Saccharomyces cerevisiae S288C: one gene and its partners. The gene in region 1 interacts genetically with each later gene. Each region holds a gene or a part of one and is shown in the gene's direction. Other genes may lie near its edges.

Region 1 (4,622 bases):
AATACATGATTTAATATTTGTAATCTAACGTGAATAATTGGATCGTGGGAAAGCACTTCCAAGACTTCTAAAACACGAAAGAACAGTTTCTTTAAATAATCTTCGAAATAGAAAATTGCAAGAGTTTTCTTGTTTAGCATCATAGATAAGCCAGGTTGATTTTTGAAATACCTCAGCTTTCTGTTGGGCAAAAGACCATTTAAGAATAAATCCTTCAAAGCGTTTAAACTCTGTAAAGCAGAGTTTCTCGATTTTTTGCCACAATATGAAACCAGAGTTTCTAAAGACTTAGTGTTATGCAATGGCGAATCTTGAATGAGTAAAGTTACGGCAGATATTTTATCGTTGAGGGTACCGTCCGATAGGATTTGGGACATGAACTTGGCCTGCGATGAGTCCTTTGTAAACTCCTCATAGTAAGTTTGGTTGTCAGCTTCTAGCGTTTGCTTACCTCTTTCAAAAAGTTTCTCAATCTGTTCCTTGGATAATTCTTCAACATCATCATTTTGTCCAACTTGAGGATCCAATGGAATTTCATACCATGGTTTATCGTAAGGAATAATAAGTTTGTCAGATGAGATAATAGTAGTTTGAGTAATTAAACCTCCATCTTTCTCCTCTTTCTTTTCTTTCTCTGCAGATTCTGATTCTGGCTCTTGGTCTGAACTAAGATTAGCCTCTTCTACTGTGTTTTCTTCTTGTTCACTGCCATTATCGATTGACTCTTGGGAGGTTTTCTCTATTGTCGATGATGCAATGTTTGATTGTGCATGTTCCTTCTCTTGAGCGGGTATTTTAGATTCTTTGGAGCTAGTGGATTCTTCTTCTATATCGTCATCGTCTACATCTTCGAGTTTGTGTTGGTCAAATCCTACATTCTTCATGAAATTTTGAAGATCGTTCTTGAATCCCTTGTCGTCAGCATCCTCGTCAGCGACGGCATCAAATTCCTGTTCGCTCTTAGCGTCATCATCATCGCTTAATCCTTGAATCAATTTTAGATCTTCTTCGCTGGCACCCAATGCTAGTGCTTCACGACGTATGTCCTCATTTACCTTCTTTGAATTACTACTGGCCTTCACGTCCTTGCCTTTGTGGGTTTTCTTCGCCTTTTTGCTGTTATTGTCTCGCAATTTTGACGAAATCTTATTTCTTAGTGAAGACAAATCCAGCGGATTGCCGTTGTTCTCACTCATTATTTTTGATTACTGTACCAACAAAGACACTGGAGAGGTTTAATATCTATAGAAATTTATCAAACTATAGAATTTCGCTTCCGATGTGTACGACATAATGCTTTCTTATTCGCAACTCCATTACTTTGGCATCTCTGATAATTTTTTACCTCATCGCCAAAAGAAAAAATTTTTCATTCTGCAACGGGTAACGGAATACAGAGGCAAGAGAACGGAAGAACATCATATCGGCGGTTATTACTAAACAGTATATGTCCAATCGGTTTTGGAAATGAGATTTTCTTATTAATGATCTGATCTTAGATTATGTTGGGCAATACGCGTTATACAAAAGATCTGCTATTGCATGTGGTGAAAGTTATACCAACATTTTTGCTTATATGAAATCATCTGCAACAACCAATTGGATAAGGATAGATTTCTCAAATATATTAAATTATGTCTTGGTTTACTTACACAGAAAGTCCCAAAGTACAGATGAATTATACTAGGGTTGTGTTCATTGTTCCATGAGAGGCTGTACTTTTTGCCTACTTATTTTGGTACTCATTCATTAGGCTCATAAACCGATTTTTCTTATATTGTGCGTAATTCAATTAGATATCTAGATGTATTGCTAGTGCTAGTACGGTGTAAACTCTCGTAGCAAGCGCTTTTGAAGCATGGCTGTGGTGGAGGTAGTTGCCACTGCGAGCGGGTAATAAAGCGGCTGCCGCCTTACTCATTTGTACCAAAGATAGCCGACCCAAAATTATAAAAAATAATTGTATCCCGGATTTTAATAGATGGTTGGAGTTTTATTTTCCAAGGTCAGGACTGCTTATTGACTACCATCTTGAAAAGTCATTTTCTGCTCACCACCCTCAACTAAACTAAAAATGTCTTCCTCCAAGCGTATTGCCAAGGAATTAAGTGATTTAGGGAGGTATGTTAAAAATAAAATGAATGATTTTTCTTGATCTGTAAAGAAAAAGGATTACTAACATGAGTTTCTTTTTTGAACTTTTTTCCGAAGAGATCCTCCTGCTTCATGTTCAGCAGGACCTGTAGGGGATGACCTGTATCATTGGCAAGCCTCTATTATGGGTCCTTCAGACTCACCCTACGCTGGTGGCGTTTTCTTTTTGTCTATTCACTTTCCAACTGATTATCCATTCAAGCCACCGAAGGTAAACTTTACGACCAAAATTTATCATCCGAATATTAATTCGAGTGGTAATATCTGCCTTGATATTTTAAAGGACCAGTGGTCACCGGCGCTAACCCTTTCAAAAGTTTTGTTGTCTATTTGCTCTCTTTTAACAGATGCTAATCCCGACGATCCTTTGGTCCCTGAAATTGCTCAAATCTACAAGACAGATAAGGCTAAGTATGAAGCCACCGCTAAGGAGTGGACTAAAAAATATGCTGTTTGATTAATTTGGGCTAACGGATAAATTGTGTAGACTTACCTTCCTCAGCGCACACATCAATATATTATATATTCTTTACGTATACAAACACGCAAATTCTTATAGGTATAGCGATATTAGTTTGATCAATTCCCATCACGTACCTTGCTTTCTATTATTTACTCTTTCTCCTGTACCTGCTACTATCAATTAAAAAAAATTCTCCGCGACGGGGAATTGAACCCCGATCTGGCACGCGACAAGCGCCCATTCTGACCATTAAACTATCACGGAAGAAACAAAGCACTCACGATGGGGGTCGAACCCATAATCTTCTGATTAGAAGTCAGACGCGTTGCCATTACGCCACGCGAGCTACTATTTGTCGGAAAAACATTCTGATTCATCTAGCTAAATGATTGTTTAAAATATGCTAAATTTCTCACCAACCTTTTCTCATAATGAGCCTAATATGAACCGCTATTGAAAATATGTACAAGGAAGAATATAGAGAATAAAGCGTCTTGTTTTAAAGGAGGAAAAGCATAAAAAAAATGAAAAATGATAATAAAGCTAATGATATAATAATAGACTCCGTCAAAGTTCCTGATTCGTACAAGCCCCCAAAAAATCCTATTGTATTTTGCCATGGTTTATCAGGATTTGACAAATTAATTCTAATCCCTTCTGTATTCCATCTGACAAACCTAATTTCCAATTCAATAGTACATAATATGGCAGAAAATTTCATGCAGGATGACGAAGATAAGAGTGATAACAAGTACACAAATTTGTTGGAGATTGAATATTGGATTGGCGTTAAAAAATTTCTTCAATCTAAGGGATGTACTGTTATCACCACTAAGGTACCAGGTTTTGGTAGCATCGAGGAAAGAGCAATGGCTTTGGATGCTCAGTTACAGAAAGAAGTAAAGAAAATCGAGTCGAAGGATAAGCGACATTCGTTAAATCTAATCGCACACTCAATGGGGGGACTAGACTGCCGATATCTAATTTGCAATATAAAAAATAGGAATTACGATATATTGAGCCTAACCACTATTTCAACTCCACATAGAGGGTCAGAAATGGCCGATTACGTAGTCGACCTTTTTGAAAATCTAAATGCCTTGAGAGTTAGCCAAAAGATATTGCCAATATGTTTCTACCAACTCACGACTGCGTATATGAAATATTTCAATTTGGTTACGCCAAATAGTCCAAAAGTCTCTTATTTTTCGTATGGATGCTCCTTTGTGCCTAAGTGGTACAATGTCTTTTGTACTCCCTGGAAAATTGTTTATGAAAGGTCTAAAGGTTGCCCCAACGATGGCCTTGTAACCATAAATAGTAGTAAATGGGGTGAATACAGGGGGACTTTGAAGGACATGGATCATCTGGACGTCATCAATTGGAAAAATAAGTTACAGGATGATTGGAGTAAATTTTTTCGTACCACTACTGTCGGAGAGAAGGTTGACATCCTGAATTTTTACTTGAAGATAACCGATGACTTGGCAAGAAAAGGATTTTAAGAGTTGTTCTATTCGTAAGAACTGTTTATAGAATACTCTTTTTTTTTATGTTTTGAGCCTACACCTGTTGGTGTCGGTAAAGAAAAAGTCAGAAATATAAATATTTAATCGGTATATAAAAGGCAAAACGTGAAAAAAAAAAATTAAAAGTTTATACTCCTCCTTGTTTAAAGCTCATCATGTTCGATGAAAACACCAGCTGCTACGTTTGTTACCTCCGATTCAGTATTCCCTGTCGTTTGTGATCCAGCTTCCCCGATGTCTCTGGTTGTATGACTAGTGCTTTCATCATCATCCATCCTTGCGTTGTTTATCTGCTCAACTTTGTTATCATCATTTAATGAGGATTTCAACTTGTTCATCAACGCCAGTTCAAAATCATTATTCGGTTGATTTCTCATGTTTTCAAATATTACTTCCATTTCATGTGGACTTACGATTTCGTTTAATAATTCTTTCACTTCTGCTATCTCCTTAGAAATCCTCAAGAATAGCTCATT
Region 2 (5,410 bases), on another chromosome or scaffold:
AAGAAGAAAGGATTTTTAGATGAAAACGATATTCTATCTCTCTACGGGTTGAACCGTGAAGAAATTGTGGGGGCTGGTGATGGTATGGGACAACACGATGAATCTGAGAAAATTGACAATGAAATGGCTAAGCGTGTTGTTAGCCTTATTATGAGGTTATTGGATGTTGATGATAATACCAAAATCACCAAGGAGGAATATCTACAATTTGCTAAGAGAGGAAACAAGTTCCCTGACCTTGGCGTTGGTGTAGGTCACCACTCCGATTTTGAGCTAGAATATGAAATTCATCACTGGAATAAGTTTCATAAGGACAAAGATCCAGACGTTAAAGTCGTTCACAAAGAAGACATAGAACATGAATTGCTTCATCATGAACATGAAATTGAACATGAAGAAGAAATTCAAAGAGGCGCTTCTAGAGCTACTGTAATAACTGATGACGAACTAGAGTCTAGAATAGAGCTGAAAAATATTCCCGAGAAATTCAAAAATGGAATTTTTTAATGGACTTGGTCAAGATGAATAGTTGAGACTGAGAAAATATTCAAGACACTATGTATGTAGTCAATTAGCATGTAGTAAGTAATCAAAGCACTTAAAATATATTTTTACCATCGCATCGTTGTGATGCCTCTCCTTTGTGATTAACTATCTACTTTAAACGTTCTATTTTCTATGTTCTAATTACGTATGTATTGGTCTTTTCTCTCCGATGGTAACAAGAAGCGTTTCGGGAAACAGTGGCACCTCCTTGTCCCTTAAATGTCGAACTTTAACAGTATAAGTACAAAGTGAAAAAAAAAAAAAAATGGAAATATCTATGATAGTGATATGATAGAAGAGCTATTTGAATGCTATGTTGTCATATTTAGCCTTACAAAAGGGAAAAGGCAAACACAGTCTTTTGTTATTACTATAGGAAAGATAGAATTGATATTAAAACAGTATGAAGTTATTGCATTTATATGAAGCGAGCTTGAAGAGAAGGCCCAAAACTACGAATGCGATAATGACAGGTGCGCTATTTGGAATTGGTGATGTTTCTGCTCAATTGTTGTTTCCAACATCCAAAGTAAACAAGGGTTATGATTATAAAAGGACAGCTAGGGCTGTCATCTATGGTTCTTTAATTTTCTCCTTTATAGGTGACAAGTGGTACAAGATCTTGAACAACAAGATTTATATGCGTAACAGACCTCAGTACCACTGGTCTAATATGGTTTTACGGGTAGCTGTCGATCAATTGGCGTTTGCGCCGCTAGGTTTGCCATTTTATTTCACCTGTATGTCCATCATGGAAGGTAGATCATTTGACGTAGCTAAGTTGAAAATAAAAGAGCAATGGTGGCCTACACTTTTGACTAATTGGGCAGTTTGGCCACTTTTCCAAGCGATTAACTTTTCTGTTGTTCCTTTACAACATAGGTTACTAGCTGTTAATGTCGTTGCAATATTTTGGAACACTTACTTATCTTATAAAAACTCAAAGGTTATGGAGAAAGACAAGGTACCTGTTCATTATCCACCCGTGGTCGAATAACTGGATAAGAAATCCTGATTTTGAAAATATTTGGAATTCAACTAGCATATTTATCAGACCTTGTTCCTTGGGGTACTGGAACAGCATATACCTAATAGACTTTCGGCAGAGAGCAGACCAACTTCATAAATATTTGAGTCACCAAAGTTGGCTAGCAATCTGCTTTTCCTTTACAGATGTGCTTGGTCAGGAACAATTTATTTAATTACATTCGTACTTCTTTTATAGAGGAAATAGTAGCTAACATTTCACTATTGCGGTCATGCCTGTTGTTCTTCAGCTACCGTTTATGCAAAGGTGTTTAATTAGGTGTGAGACTTAAGTGGGCCTTTTAGTACCACTGTGGGTTCTGGACCTTTATATAATATTTCATTTTTTCAAAGGTTTTTTCATATGCCGTTAAAAGAGGTCAAAACATAGACCCGAGGAACATATCTTGTAAATCGCTGCGTTATGTATGCATATTGTACTCCTACCTTCGTAACTGGAAAGAATCAGTCTGAAAGTTTATTGAGCCTGAAACGGAGCAAGATTATAGTTGAATGTTTCTTATTCGGTGTTGATAGTAGATGATGACCAAAGCTTTTTTTAACAAACTACCGTTTGAGGTATTCCGTCGGTACGTTAGGACAGGTAAAAGCATCCCTCAAAGAAGCCCCAGGACAAGAAAATCTCTTCTGGTGGGTGGGACTATTGCATCAGCAGTAGTTTTGTACAACTTTAATGACACTTTTCATGATTCTGTAAAGCACACGGCACTGACGACTAAAAGAATCGCTGTCGTCACACAAGCTACCACTCGTTGCTTCTACCATTACAAGAGGGCTCTAAATAAAAGCTATGAGAACAAAAAAGAACGAGAAGTTGCCTTAAATAAATGTCATAAGATGTGTGCCTTAATCACGTTGCATGCGCTACGATCGAATGGTGGGATATATATCAAATTAGGCCAGCACATTGGGGCCATGACCTACCTGTTGCCTAAAGAATGGACGGATACAATGATACCGTTGCAAGACCACTGTCCCGAATCCACCTACGAAGAAATTGATGAGTTATTTAAAGAAGATCTAGGCACCAGCATTGAGGATATGTTTTTAGAATTCAACAAAACCCCGATAGGTGTAGCTTCCTTGGCACAGGTTCATGTGGCAAAACTAAAAAATAGTGACGGTAAAGGTTCTAGTGTAGCTGTCAAATGTCAGCATCCATCGTTGAAGGAGTTTATACCATTAGATGTTATGCTGACAAGAACAGTGTTTGAACTGCTGGATGTCTTCTTCCCTGATTATCCGTTAACGTGGCTTGGTGATGAGCTTCAGTCTTCAATCTACGTGGAACTGAATTTTACCAAAGAAGCTGAAAATGCAGAAAAAACCCGTCATTATTTTAGTAAGTTCAAGAAGCAAACAGCATTGAAAATACCCAAGGTCATTGAAAGCCACAAAAGAATTTTGATTATGGAATATGTTGGAGGCAAAAGGTTGGATGATTTGGAGTACATTGACAGTCACGGTATCTCGCGCAGTGAAGTTTCGAGTTGTCTCTCTCATATTTTCAATAACATGATTTTTACTCCCAATGTAGGTATTCATTGTGATCCTCATGGAGGAAATCTGGCCATACGATCTGTTAAGCCCGCTAAAGATAATGGATACCATAACTTTGAAATTGTTTTATTTGACCACGGACTCTATAGATATCCTAGCACGAGAACAAGAAGACTTTATGCCAAATTTTGGTTGTCGCTCCTATTCGACAAGGACCAGACAAAAATGAAGAAGTATGCCAAAGGATTCGCAAACATCACCGACGAACAGTTTCCCCTTTTAGCGGCTGCAATTACGGGCCGTAGCATTGATGCTGCTTTGAATTACGACATTTCAACGAGTCGAACACAAGAAGAAATGGACGTCATGGCAAATGGGATCTTGGAAGGAACGTTACTGAGCGACTTGATGAGCATTTTGTCTAGAATCCCTCGTGTAGTGCTTTTGATATTGAAGACTAACGACCTAACCAGACATCTTGATGAATGTCTACAGAATCCACTCGGGCCAGAGAGGACTTTCCTGATCATGACGCAATACTGCGCCAAGACGGTCTACGACGAAAAAGTGGAAAGAATTAATTCGGAGTATGCGAGGTGGTCTATTAAATGGATGTGGGAGAACTTGACAAACTGGATAGTCTATGAGAGGCGTATTAATCAATTGTATTTTTATGATTTTGTGTTGTGGTGGAAAAAATTTATTCCGAAGACTTGGTTGTCATCTTAAATCGTTAGCGTTCTTTCTACTTGTAAATATATACGTAAAATTATATATAACAATTTTATATGTGTCATTAAACGGAAGACGTTGTTGCTATCACAGTGGATTGTGTTATTTGGGTATTTGGAATATTACAGTGACTTCTTGCAGCGTTGTTAGTTTTTGCCATGTTCTGCAAGTACAAGGTTGAAGATGTGGTCGAGACTTTGATAGTATCCTTAAACAACTTCATTTTTTTATTTTGACTGGGTAACGACCTGGTGTTCCTTCTAGTCTCACCGCTAGTGGCTTCTTCTTTGCTGACTCTTAACTTTTGCAGCGCCTCTTTGGTGTCGAGTAACTCGTGTTCCAGTAGAACGTTGCGTTCCAGTCGTCGGTCACTCTCCAATTGTAATGTCTCTATCTTATTCCTCAGTTGGATATTTTCATTTTCCAACTCATCTACCTGTATCTCTAAATCTGTTATCTGTTTCTTATTGCACTTATTTTGTTGTTGGCTCTCAAGAAGATCGCTTTTTAACTTTGATATTACTTGTTCCAAATCATTTTCATATTCTTTCGTGGCGCCTTCAAGCTCGCTCAACTGGGTCTCCAGTGAGGAGATTATCTGTATAGCTGTTTCCAAATCCAAATTCGGCACCATAGGAAAGTCGCAATTGTTGCACGTATATGTCCCTTGGATATTCCAATTAAATTTGCGAGGATTGTTCTTTCGGCCGTTCGTGGTTTGTTGTAGCCCTTATTATCCCTCTTTTTCATCCTTAATTGCAAATTTATGTATGAAAACTTTCATTTCTAATGTTATTAATTTTCCCGATTCTGCAAACTAATTGATAAAATAATTGATACTTGCCGTCACAGATGATATAGAGAACGTTCAGTTTTTTTATTGTTCTATTGTAAAAAAAAAAAAAAAAGGAAGAAAAAAGCAAGATCCGATAGGAGAAGACCTCTTTAGCGGCTTTACTGCGCTACAAATAAGGTTACGAATATGCGGAATAGTTCATGATACGTTGTTGAGTTATAGTATGTAGCCAATATTTCCTGTTTTTCCGCTGTTACCCTTTTCGAAGGATCGATGAACGCTTCTGTCACTTAGTAAGCAAATGTACGAAACCCAGAGCATTGTATGTACACCAGCAGTCGTTTTTTGTAGCTCTTTTCCATGGATGGACGATGATGGCAAGACGCGATCGTGGCGGAGCCTCACTAAGAAAAACAATTGTGGAGAATCTATACACACAGAAATCGTACTTCAAGAAATATTGATTAGCGAGCCTTTAAGCACAGAACAATCTCTATAGCCAACATCTTGTGGAAGCTACAACTGTTTTTCTTGTTCCCGCTTGAGTAGGGCCTTACAAGGCAAGACCGTATAAAATAAAGATAACTCCTCCGCCGTATCCTGAATTTCGTGTGCCCTTTCTCTCTCTCTCTCTTCCTCTTTCTTCCTTTCCCTTTCCCTCTTCTTCTTATCTCAACAACCGCCCAGCGCATTAGCAAACCACAGTACGAGCTGTACGGCTGAGCCACTGCACCTGTCTGGCTTGCCCCTTTTTGTTGAGTAACCGGGTAATAATTCGGCTGTCTAAAC
Region 3 (4,356 bases), on another chromosome or scaffold:
AAGCAATGATTAGAAAGTAACTCGACTACCCTGATAGCACATTTGGTTGGCTTTATATCCCTTATTGGAGAATTCCTAGAGGGTGGCGGTGGATTATAATCGTCAGGCAATTGAAGAGTCTTGAATACAAATGAGATTTCATCCATTAGTTTGTTTATACCGATATTTAAACCTTCGGCTACAAAATCATCGATAGAAGTCTCAAAATTTTTTTTTAATTGGATAACATCATTAAGAAAATCTTTATTTTTATCGATAATTTTTTTGGGAATCAATTCGTTCTTGTAAAAAATGGAAATCATTTGTAATATTATGTCACCTATATTGATAAGTTCAGTGAATTGTACTAAAGGTTCGACTTGAGTATTGGCTGGCGAAAGTGAATTGAATTTTATTTCTATTTGTTCTATTTCGTTAGGATTATATTTTTGTAGTAGCAGGATTGCCTTTTCAAATGCAGGTTTAACGTGATTTTTATTCAATTGTGTAATTAAAATTTTGAAAATCTCTTGACAGCGTAGCTTGATCAATGGTAGCAAACTTTCAATCGTATGAAATTTGTAAATTTGATCCGTCTTTTCGCTTGTTTCCTGTAAAATTTTGTAACATAAATCGAGACTTATTAACGATTTAATGTTTTGCAAGTTATTGGAAATTAAATTTAAGTTGTAGGCTAGTTGTAGTTGTTGCTTTAGCCTTTGATTTTCATTGTTCGAGAACTTGAAAATCTTGGTGAAGGAACTTAGAAAGTCTAGTTTATCATTAGAAATATCAGTTGAATGAACTGATTGATGGATCGTACTTGGTTTTGAATCCGCTTCTGGGACAGTTTTGGAGGTTTCAGTAATTATTGAGAGGTCATTCGGCAATTCATTGTTACTTGCACTCGAAGCATCCGTTTGATCTTTTAAAGTGTTATAAATTTTTGCGTTTTGCTCACGCTGCTTGTCTTGAACTTGTGTGTCATAATTAGCTAATTGTGAGTTGATCAATGATTCAAATACTCTAGTTGTCTGATTCATATAGTTGACAACAAAGGGCTCGAGATACAGGTTTAAAAGGTCACGAACAACTTTACGGAAATTTGCGCCTGCGTTTACTGAGTCGTTTAATTCAGTATCAAACTTTTTTATAAATGTGAAATAAAGTTCGGGTACGCATTCATAATTGGCTTTACTATCCTTTCCATTTTCTTTTAAAAATTCACTATAGCTTAATAAGATATTGTTTAAAATATCTAATAAAATATCTTGGATAAAGGACTCGATGAACTGTAATATTACAGGGAACTCATCTTTGAATAAAATGTCCGCTAATTTAATCTTTTCGTTGAGGAAATCCCTTAGCTGATTGAGAAACGTATCTAAATTTTTAGAATTAAATATCACGGTACTCCCACCGCTGTCCTCTTCCCTTGGTTGTTCGGCCCAAAATAATTCATCATTAGACGGCAAAACCGTTAAACTGGGAGGCAAATCAGCCTTTGACTTGAAAAATTCGATAGCATTGCTTTCCTCATTAGATATCAATAAAATTTTCATGAAACGAGCGACGGCAGCTAAATTATTAGACTGGTAATTCAATTCTGACTCTTTGAGAACAGAATTAATGAAGATTTCCCTAAGAATGTTGAAATTAGTTTCAATCCTAGTAAATGTTTCTATATCATTTTTATTCGAGAAATTGTACTTTTTGATAAAATTTAGAATTCTTGTTTGTTTCAACGGATCGTTGGAATATGAAGTAGGAAAGAAATTTGCTAGATTATTATTATATAGCTTCCTAGCGTATGAGTTATAACAACGGTAAAATTTCACAAAGATTTTTTTAGAATTTTGAGCAGTGAAAGATTTGTATATTTCGAAGATGCGAAGGGAATTTTGATTATCATTTTCATCCAGCAACGTAATTTCTTCTTCTTCATTTGAATGCACCTGTTGGAGACCCATTCTAGTCAATTTCAATGACCAATACTTTGAATCATTTTTGCCGTTAATGATTGCATAAACCCGTTTATTCACTTGTTGAAAACTCAGATAATCTACAGTAGATAAATATGAGGCAATATTGGTTACAATCTCGGGAACTTTTAGCAGATCATCCATTTTACCGATTTCCTCAAAAGCTTTTGTTTTCTTTTGGTTTTTCTATTGTTTGTCTGTTGACCATTTTTTGATAAAATAAGAACCTTCCTTCAACGAAATATTTCGGCAAAAGTTAGCCTTGAAACACTTAAATACAGGAAGAAATAAGGTAAAGCGTAAAACTAACAGCAATAATTTGCAGTTGTATAAATGGAACCAGAAGATACCCAGCTGAAAGAGGACATTAAAACCACAGTAAATTACATAAAGCAGCATGGTGTTGAGTTTGAGAACAAACTGCTAGAAGATGAGAGATTCTCATTCATCAAGAAAGATGACCCACTCCATGAATACTACACCAAACTCATGAATGAGCCAACAGACACTGTCAGCGGTGAAGATAATGACAGAAAGAGTGAGCGAGAGATAGCAAGGCCGCCGGATTTTCTGTTCTCTCAATATGATACTGGAATATCCCGAAGAGACATGGAAGTAATCAAATTGACAGCACGCTACTATGCAAAGGATAAAAGTATTGTTGAACAGATGATTTCAAAGGATGGTGAAGCCAGATTAAACTTTATGAACAGCTCACATCCGCTACATAAGACATTCACTGATTTTGTCGCCCAGTACAAGCGAGTATATTCTTTTACTGGTCAAGAAATCAAGAAAAGTAAGAGAACCATTTTAGATAATTGTTTTGAGAGAACACAGTATTGGGAATTTGAGAAAGATAAAGACCGGGAACATGATAAGCTCGTAGAGTTGTGCAAAATACAATTTGCAGCCATTCCATGGGATAAATTTACTCAAGTGGCAAAATTTTCTATCCCTGAAGACACAGAAATCTTCGAAGGCTCTCTAGATTTAGAACAGATGAGGCTGCGAAGAGTACAAACTGGTATTAAGTTATTCGATAGTATCAAGCCGACAAATGAAGAAGAAAAGATAGTATCCGACCAAGGTAAGCAAAAAGGAGGAGATAGTAAGGGCAAAAAGCGTAAAATTAGAGCTGTGGGAGAGACAAGGTTAAAGAAAAGTAAAAAATAAGCCTCATGAAAATCAAAGTTAGCTAGAAGTATGTAAAGGTTGATGATGCACCGTAATTGAGCACATGTATCACTATTAACGGCGTACGTATTTTGGCGTTTTTTCATGTTGATGTTATTTTGTATATAGAAAGTGAAATTCTCGAGGATATGGCCCTACTGGATAATACTATTGGTAGCGTGAAAGAAGGCCAGGATGATAGATATCAACGTTAATAACATATTTTTTAGATCTTATTCAGTTGATCCTAACTCTGGTCACGCAATTTATGTCTTTGATTCGACTTATTTGCCAGCATCTGATGAAATTGGCGATAAGCAAGTTTATGACTTGCTTATTAATGCCCTCATGGATCGATTGGTAATGAAATTGCCACAGGCACCATATTCACTGGTGATTTTTTCATCTGGGTTTTCCCAGAGAAAAATAAGCTGGGTTTACGGTATTAAAATGTTTGCAAAGTTACCCAAAGAGACCAAGTTCTATTTACAAAAGATTTTTATTGTTCATGAGTCATTCTTCGTTAGGTCGGTCTATCAAGTAATTTCAAACGCTATGAACTTTAACTTCTTGGACTCAAAAGATAGTCAGCATGATTTTCCAAGTTTAGTTCATGTCTTGGACCTGACTTCTTTATCCGAGCTAATAGATATTACGCGACTTAGAATATCGTTGAACGTGTACTTATATGATTACCAGATACGCGAACATATAAATGTCCCGGAGGAATATTATAACAGATTGACCCCTCTGGCAATAAGACAGTATAGGCAGTTAGTATTCGATAAAATTTTCAAGAAATTACAGAATGACGCTCTGTTGTGTGAATTGATATTCCAGAAGCCGGGAAACTATAAAAAGGTAAACATTTTTTTGGATATTATCAAAAGAAACAACTACATTGATTTATCTCAATGGGATATTTATTCTTTGGCATCCGTGTGGTTGAATTACTTCATTAAGAATAAAGCCAAACCTCTAATCCCAATTGAATTAATTCCGTTACCAATTGTTGATGATCTAAAGTTCACAAGTGAAACATTCCGCAAAATTATTAAATTCAACCAATACCAGGACCTCTTTATGGTCATAATTCCTTTTTTTAATAGGATCATAGCGCATGGTGAATCGACTAAACATGATTCAAGGACCCTAAGTAAAGCTTTAACTCCGGCGTTATGTAAGGAAAAACTTTCCATGATGACTAATGATCGTTTAG
Region 4 (4,275 bases), on another chromosome or scaffold:
ATTTGAGCTGGTGAAAGGAGAAAATGAAAGTATACCATTTGAAGAGAGAGAGTGGAAACTTACAATGAATGGCAACACCTCCTTTTTAACTAATGGGGAAGAAATGAATTGGACGTTTATGAATGCCTTTGAGGCTGGTTCAGACGCTGATATCAAAGCGAGAAGAGCAGCTGAGAGCGGAAAACTAAAAATGGAGTGAAAACTAAAGTGAGTCTTGAATTCTGTACTTCTCATTATACACTTCTGCATTTGATTTTTATTTCATGATGAAGCTGTGTGAATATATATATATATATACATATGTCAAAGTCTAGTGTAAATTGATAGAATTAACAGTATCTTTTAATATCCCTAAACTTCAAAATTCAAGGTTCAACGATTGAAAGATGAGCTGTCTAGGTAGTAGTACCGAAACCTTTCGAGTTTTGTGCTATCTCTGAAAACTCATTATCCTGCTAAACCCTTTCTAATGTGCATAGCAGCTATTGCAACTTTAGCATCCTCATTACAGACGGCATAGCAGAGACGTATGCGGTTACCCCCCAGATTTTGCCTGTTTCTTTTCACTATGAAAAATTTTCCGCCATAAGAAAAAATGAAGTAGTGCATCGCATCTCATCTCATCACTTAATTTGAAGACGATTACCATTACTTTTAACTTCATTAACTACCTTTTCTATAGGGTTAAGTTCTAGAGATAAAATAACAGAGGAAAGAGATCGATATGGTAAAGTCAACAAGCAAAACTTCCACCAAGGAAACAGTAACCAAACAACCCACCGAAGAAAAACCTATACAGGAGAAAGAAGAGTTGGCTCTAGAAACATCGTCTAGCAGTTCAGATGAAGAAGACGAAAAAGATGAAGATGAAATTGAAGGTTTAGCCGCTTCTGATGATGAGCAGAGCGGTACACACAAGATTAAAAGATTGAATCCTAAGAAGCAGGCTAATGAAAAAAAGTCGAAAGATAAAAAGACACTTGAAGAGTATTCTGGGATTATTTATGTGAGTAGACTGCCACATGGGTTCCACGAAAAGGAATTAAGTAAATATTTTGCTCAATTCGGTGATTTAAAAGAAGTGAGATTAGCACGTAATAAGAAAACTGGAAATTCCAGACATTATGGCTTCTTAGAATTCGTTAATAAAGAGGATGCAATGATCGCCCAAGAATCTATGAACAATTACTTGTTGATGGGTCATCTACTACAAGTGCGTGTATTACCAAAAGGAGCTAAAATCGAGAAATTGTACAAATACAAGAAGAGAGTTCTAGTAGAGAAAGGTATCACCAAACCAGTAAAACAGCTAAAGGATAACATGAAGCAAAAACATGAAGAAAGGATAAAAAAATTAGCCAAGTCAGGTATCGAATTCAAATGGTGACTTGTCACTTCTCATCCACCCTGAGAAAAGGGTTTTGTAAGATAGAATAGGAGATATAGCAAACTTGGGAAACCATTTATATCATTAATTCCAGCAATATAGTTCCGTTTGTCCGTATTCAATGATATTTACATGATTGCTTTTACGAAGATTCAACGACCAAAATCACGGAGCGGGTAATAGCCTGGAGTTTCCGGATGAAAAATTTAACGGCCCAGAAAAAGAACAATAGCTGCAAAAAAGAAAGCTATACGAGATCGAGATAGTGAGAGAGGTTAGCATAACGAGAAAATTTTTGTCGCATTCGTGGCCAAAAAGCGATATTTGAGAAGCATTGTTATTATATCAATAAATAACAAATATATATATTGTCCTTTTTCCAATAACTATATAAAGAACAAGAAGCTTTTGAAACTTTCTCAAAAATTTTCGTTCAGGCTTCCTCGTTAATATTTAAATTCGATTTTCATTTTCTTCATAGTAAAGAAAATCAATCAACTACAACATAAAATATCAAACAATCATGCCTAAAGTTTACAGTTACCAAGAAGTTGCCGAACACAATGGCCCAGAAAATTTCTGGATTATCATCGATGACAAAGTTTACGATGTTTCTCAATTCAAAGATGAACATCCAGGTGGTGATGAAATTATAATGGATTTGGGTGGACAAGATGCTACAGAAAGCTTTGTCGATATCGGTCATTCTGACGAAGCATTGAGACTACTGAAAGGTTTATACATTGGTGACGTTGACAAGACCAGTGAGCGCGTTTCTGTGGAAAAGGTATCTACCTCTGAAAACCAAAGTAAAGGTAGTGGTACATTGGTTGTCATATTGGCCATTTTAATGCTAGGTGTTGCTTATTATTTGTTGAACGAATAATTTTTCTTCCAGAATAGCCCACACTCTTCTCCAAACTCAATTGAATTTTTCGTTTCAGTTTATTAAATTATTTATTTACAAGCAATCAAGGCCAAATTAATGTCTTACAACATTAACTTATGCTACTATATCGCATAGAAGTATGTCACTGTATCATAGAATCTGCCTGGCAGATAGAATTATTATAAATTAATATGTATATACTTATCTTTGTGTATGGCTAAAAATCATCGTCTTAGATAAAAAAAAAAAAGGCAAATAAAGCTCTGCTCTTACTTCAATACGATCAACCTGGTTGTCGTGCATTTCGCTCATTCTAAAATGACCCATAAGCGCTAGTGCACGACTTCTTTGTAAGTCTACTGTTTTTTTGAAAATCATTCGTTTAACATCGGCCCCAGGGTTGTACGAGAACAAAGAAAAGTGTCTGTCCTATTATTTTACGGCACACTAAGCGTTATGCGAAATAACTTCAATCCAGTTGCCACCGTTCACCCAAAAACTTAGGAGTATTAAAGAAAAAGTGTGACGAAGAGCTTTAAAATATTAAAAATGTAGTATACAGCAAATAAAATTTTATCATGCATTGAAGAAATAAGGTGCAGTCAACTTATATAATTATTATTAATAGAGATGAATGAATTGAATCACTTTGACTTCAATAGTTTGAACGACCTCTGTTACCCCAGCCACCATCTCTCTGCCTGTTACCGCCGTAACCACCACGGCCACCACCGTAACCACCTCTACGGCCATAGCCACCACGACCACCACGACCACCACCGTATCTTGGGTGACCGCCACCATAAGATCTCCTGTCGTATTTCAATAATTCGGGAGGAATATTTTGATTAGCTTCTCTCATGATAGAGATTAATTTAGCACCTAAACCTTTGTTTTGTTCGGTGAAGAAAGATATAGCAGTACCAGTAGCACCTGCTCTACCAGTTCTACCGATTCTGTGAACATAATCTTCAATGTTACCTGGCATATCGTAGTTGATAACGTAATTGATACCTTTGACATCTGAAAAAATAAAGAAGTAAACAAACGTTTACAAAGCATACTGTTAGTAATTTGGTTCGTTATTCTGTATATGAACTTTATTTTCATGCCCCCCACAAATTCATGTTTGGACTCCCAACATTGTCTCAAATTTCCCCCTGGCTTGAAGATTATCAGAAATTATATTTTTATTAAAGAATTCGAAATATTTAATCATCAATACTCCAGAATCCTTATTCAAACTGAATGAAAGCTAGCACTTAAAAAAAGGAAAACAAAGTAAATGATTTCTGAATATGGTTGAAATCCTTTTATTTTGTTATTTTCCATTTTTATCAGCACTTCTTAATAATTCGAACTTGGGATGCAACAGTATCTCAATATAACTACAAAATGCATAAACTACACAAAATGAGAATAACAATAGTCAAGAAGGATGACGGCATTTCAAAGTAGAATATACTATTATTTTTCCAATAAAACAATCTACCCTTGTACAAATGCCAAGCATTGAAAAAAACAACGATCAACGAAGCGTATGTATGCGTTCTAGAAATAAGCTGAAAAGCCAATTCCTTGTTTATTTGCGCCGATGTCAAAAAGCGAAATTTCTTTTGACATGAAGTGCAAATCATGAACACAAATACACTTCTCCGAGTTTATAATTTCCCGTCTCTCAAAACGACTAATTAAAGTCAATTTTTCTCATCCTCCCAATATTAGTTTTCTGTAGTGATGCATTAGAAGTCATTCGAATTAAAATTCAATTTCCGATACTCCCCATCGAGAATAGACTCACATAGAGTCTAGATTCGAAAAGGCTCAAAAAAAAAAAAAAGAAAAAAAGAAAAAAAAAAAAAAAAGAAAAAAAAAAAAAAAAGAAAAAAGGTCTCTCTTCTGTACTATCATGGTTGTCATAAAGTCATTAATGTCATTAAAAGCCATTAGGAAATAGCTGTAATATCGTTAGGGGTAACAAAAAAAAATAAAATCAATA

Evidence for each region.
Region 2: mutations in TGL2 (region 1) and CQD2 impair growth when combined (synthetic growth defect), as found in Saccharomyces cerevisiae (4 studies listed by BioGRID, with this or other methods).
Region 3: mutations in TGL2 (region 1) and PRP21 together harm fitness more than expected from each alone (negative genetic interaction), as found in Saccharomyces cerevisiae (2 studies listed by BioGRID).
Region 4: mutations in TGL2 (region 1) and CYB5 together harm fitness more than expected from each alone (negative genetic interaction), as found in Saccharomyces cerevisiae (2 studies listed by BioGRID).

Annotation. Positions count from the first base shown.
Region 1 is NC_001136.10:567,223-571,844, reverse strand, and holds TGL2 (triglyceride lipase), read left to right. Parts: upstream 1-3,141; coding exon 3,142-4,122; downstream 4,123-4,622. Other genes in the region: RNA-binding ribosome biosynthesis protein MAK21, read right to left, coding at 1-1,196; E2 ubiquitin-conjugating protein UBC5, read left to right, coding at 2,075-2,121, 2,212-2,611; YOS9 (Yos9p), read right to left, coding at 4,290-4,622. UniProt on the Saccharomyces cerevisiae protein: Mitochondrial triacylglycerol (TAG) lipase with activity toward long-chain diacylglycerols (DAGs) and triacylglycerols (TAGs). Involved in mitochondrial lipid metabolism.
Region 2 is NC_001144.5:640,515-645,924, forward strand, and holds CQD2 (Cqd2p), read left to right. Parts: upstream 1-2,112; coding exon 2,113-3,822; downstream 3,823-5,410. Other genes in the region: nucleobindin SSP120, read left to right, coding at 1-507; SYM1 (ethanol metabolism protein), read left to right, coding at 950-1,543; NDL1 (Ndl1p), read right to left, coding at 3,890-4,459; YLR255C (uncharacterized protein), read right to left, coding at 5,086-5,410. UniProt on the Saccharomyces cerevisiae protein: Component of MIOREX complexes, large expressome-like assemblies of ribosomes with factors involved in all the steps of post-transcriptional gene expression. Involved in mitochondrial lipid homeostasis.
Region 3 is NC_001142.9:51,047-55,402, forward strand, and holds PRP21 (Prp21p), read left to right. Parts: upstream 1-2,294; coding exon 2,295-3,137; downstream 3,138-4,356. Other genes in the region: RCY1 (Rcy1p), read right to left, coding at 1-2,105; ECM25 (Ecm25p), read left to right, coding at 3,333-4,356. UniProt on the Saccharomyces cerevisiae protein: mRNA splicing factors, PRP9, PRP11, and PRP21, are necessary for binding of the U2 snRNP to the pre-mRNA in an early step of spliceosome assembly.
Region 4 is NC_001146.8:414,938-419,212, reverse strand, and holds CYB5 (Cyb5p), read left to right. Parts: upstream 1-1,910; coding exon 1,911-2,273; downstream 2,274-4,275. Other genes in the region: YNL108C (uncharacterized protein), read left to right, coding at 1-199; rRNA-binding ribosome biosynthesis protein NOP15, read left to right, coding at 725-1,387; DEAD-box ATP-dependent RNA helicase DBP2, read right to left, coding at 2,932-3,299. UniProt on the Saccharomyces cerevisiae protein: Membrane bound hemoprotein which function as an electron carrier for several membrane bound oxygenases.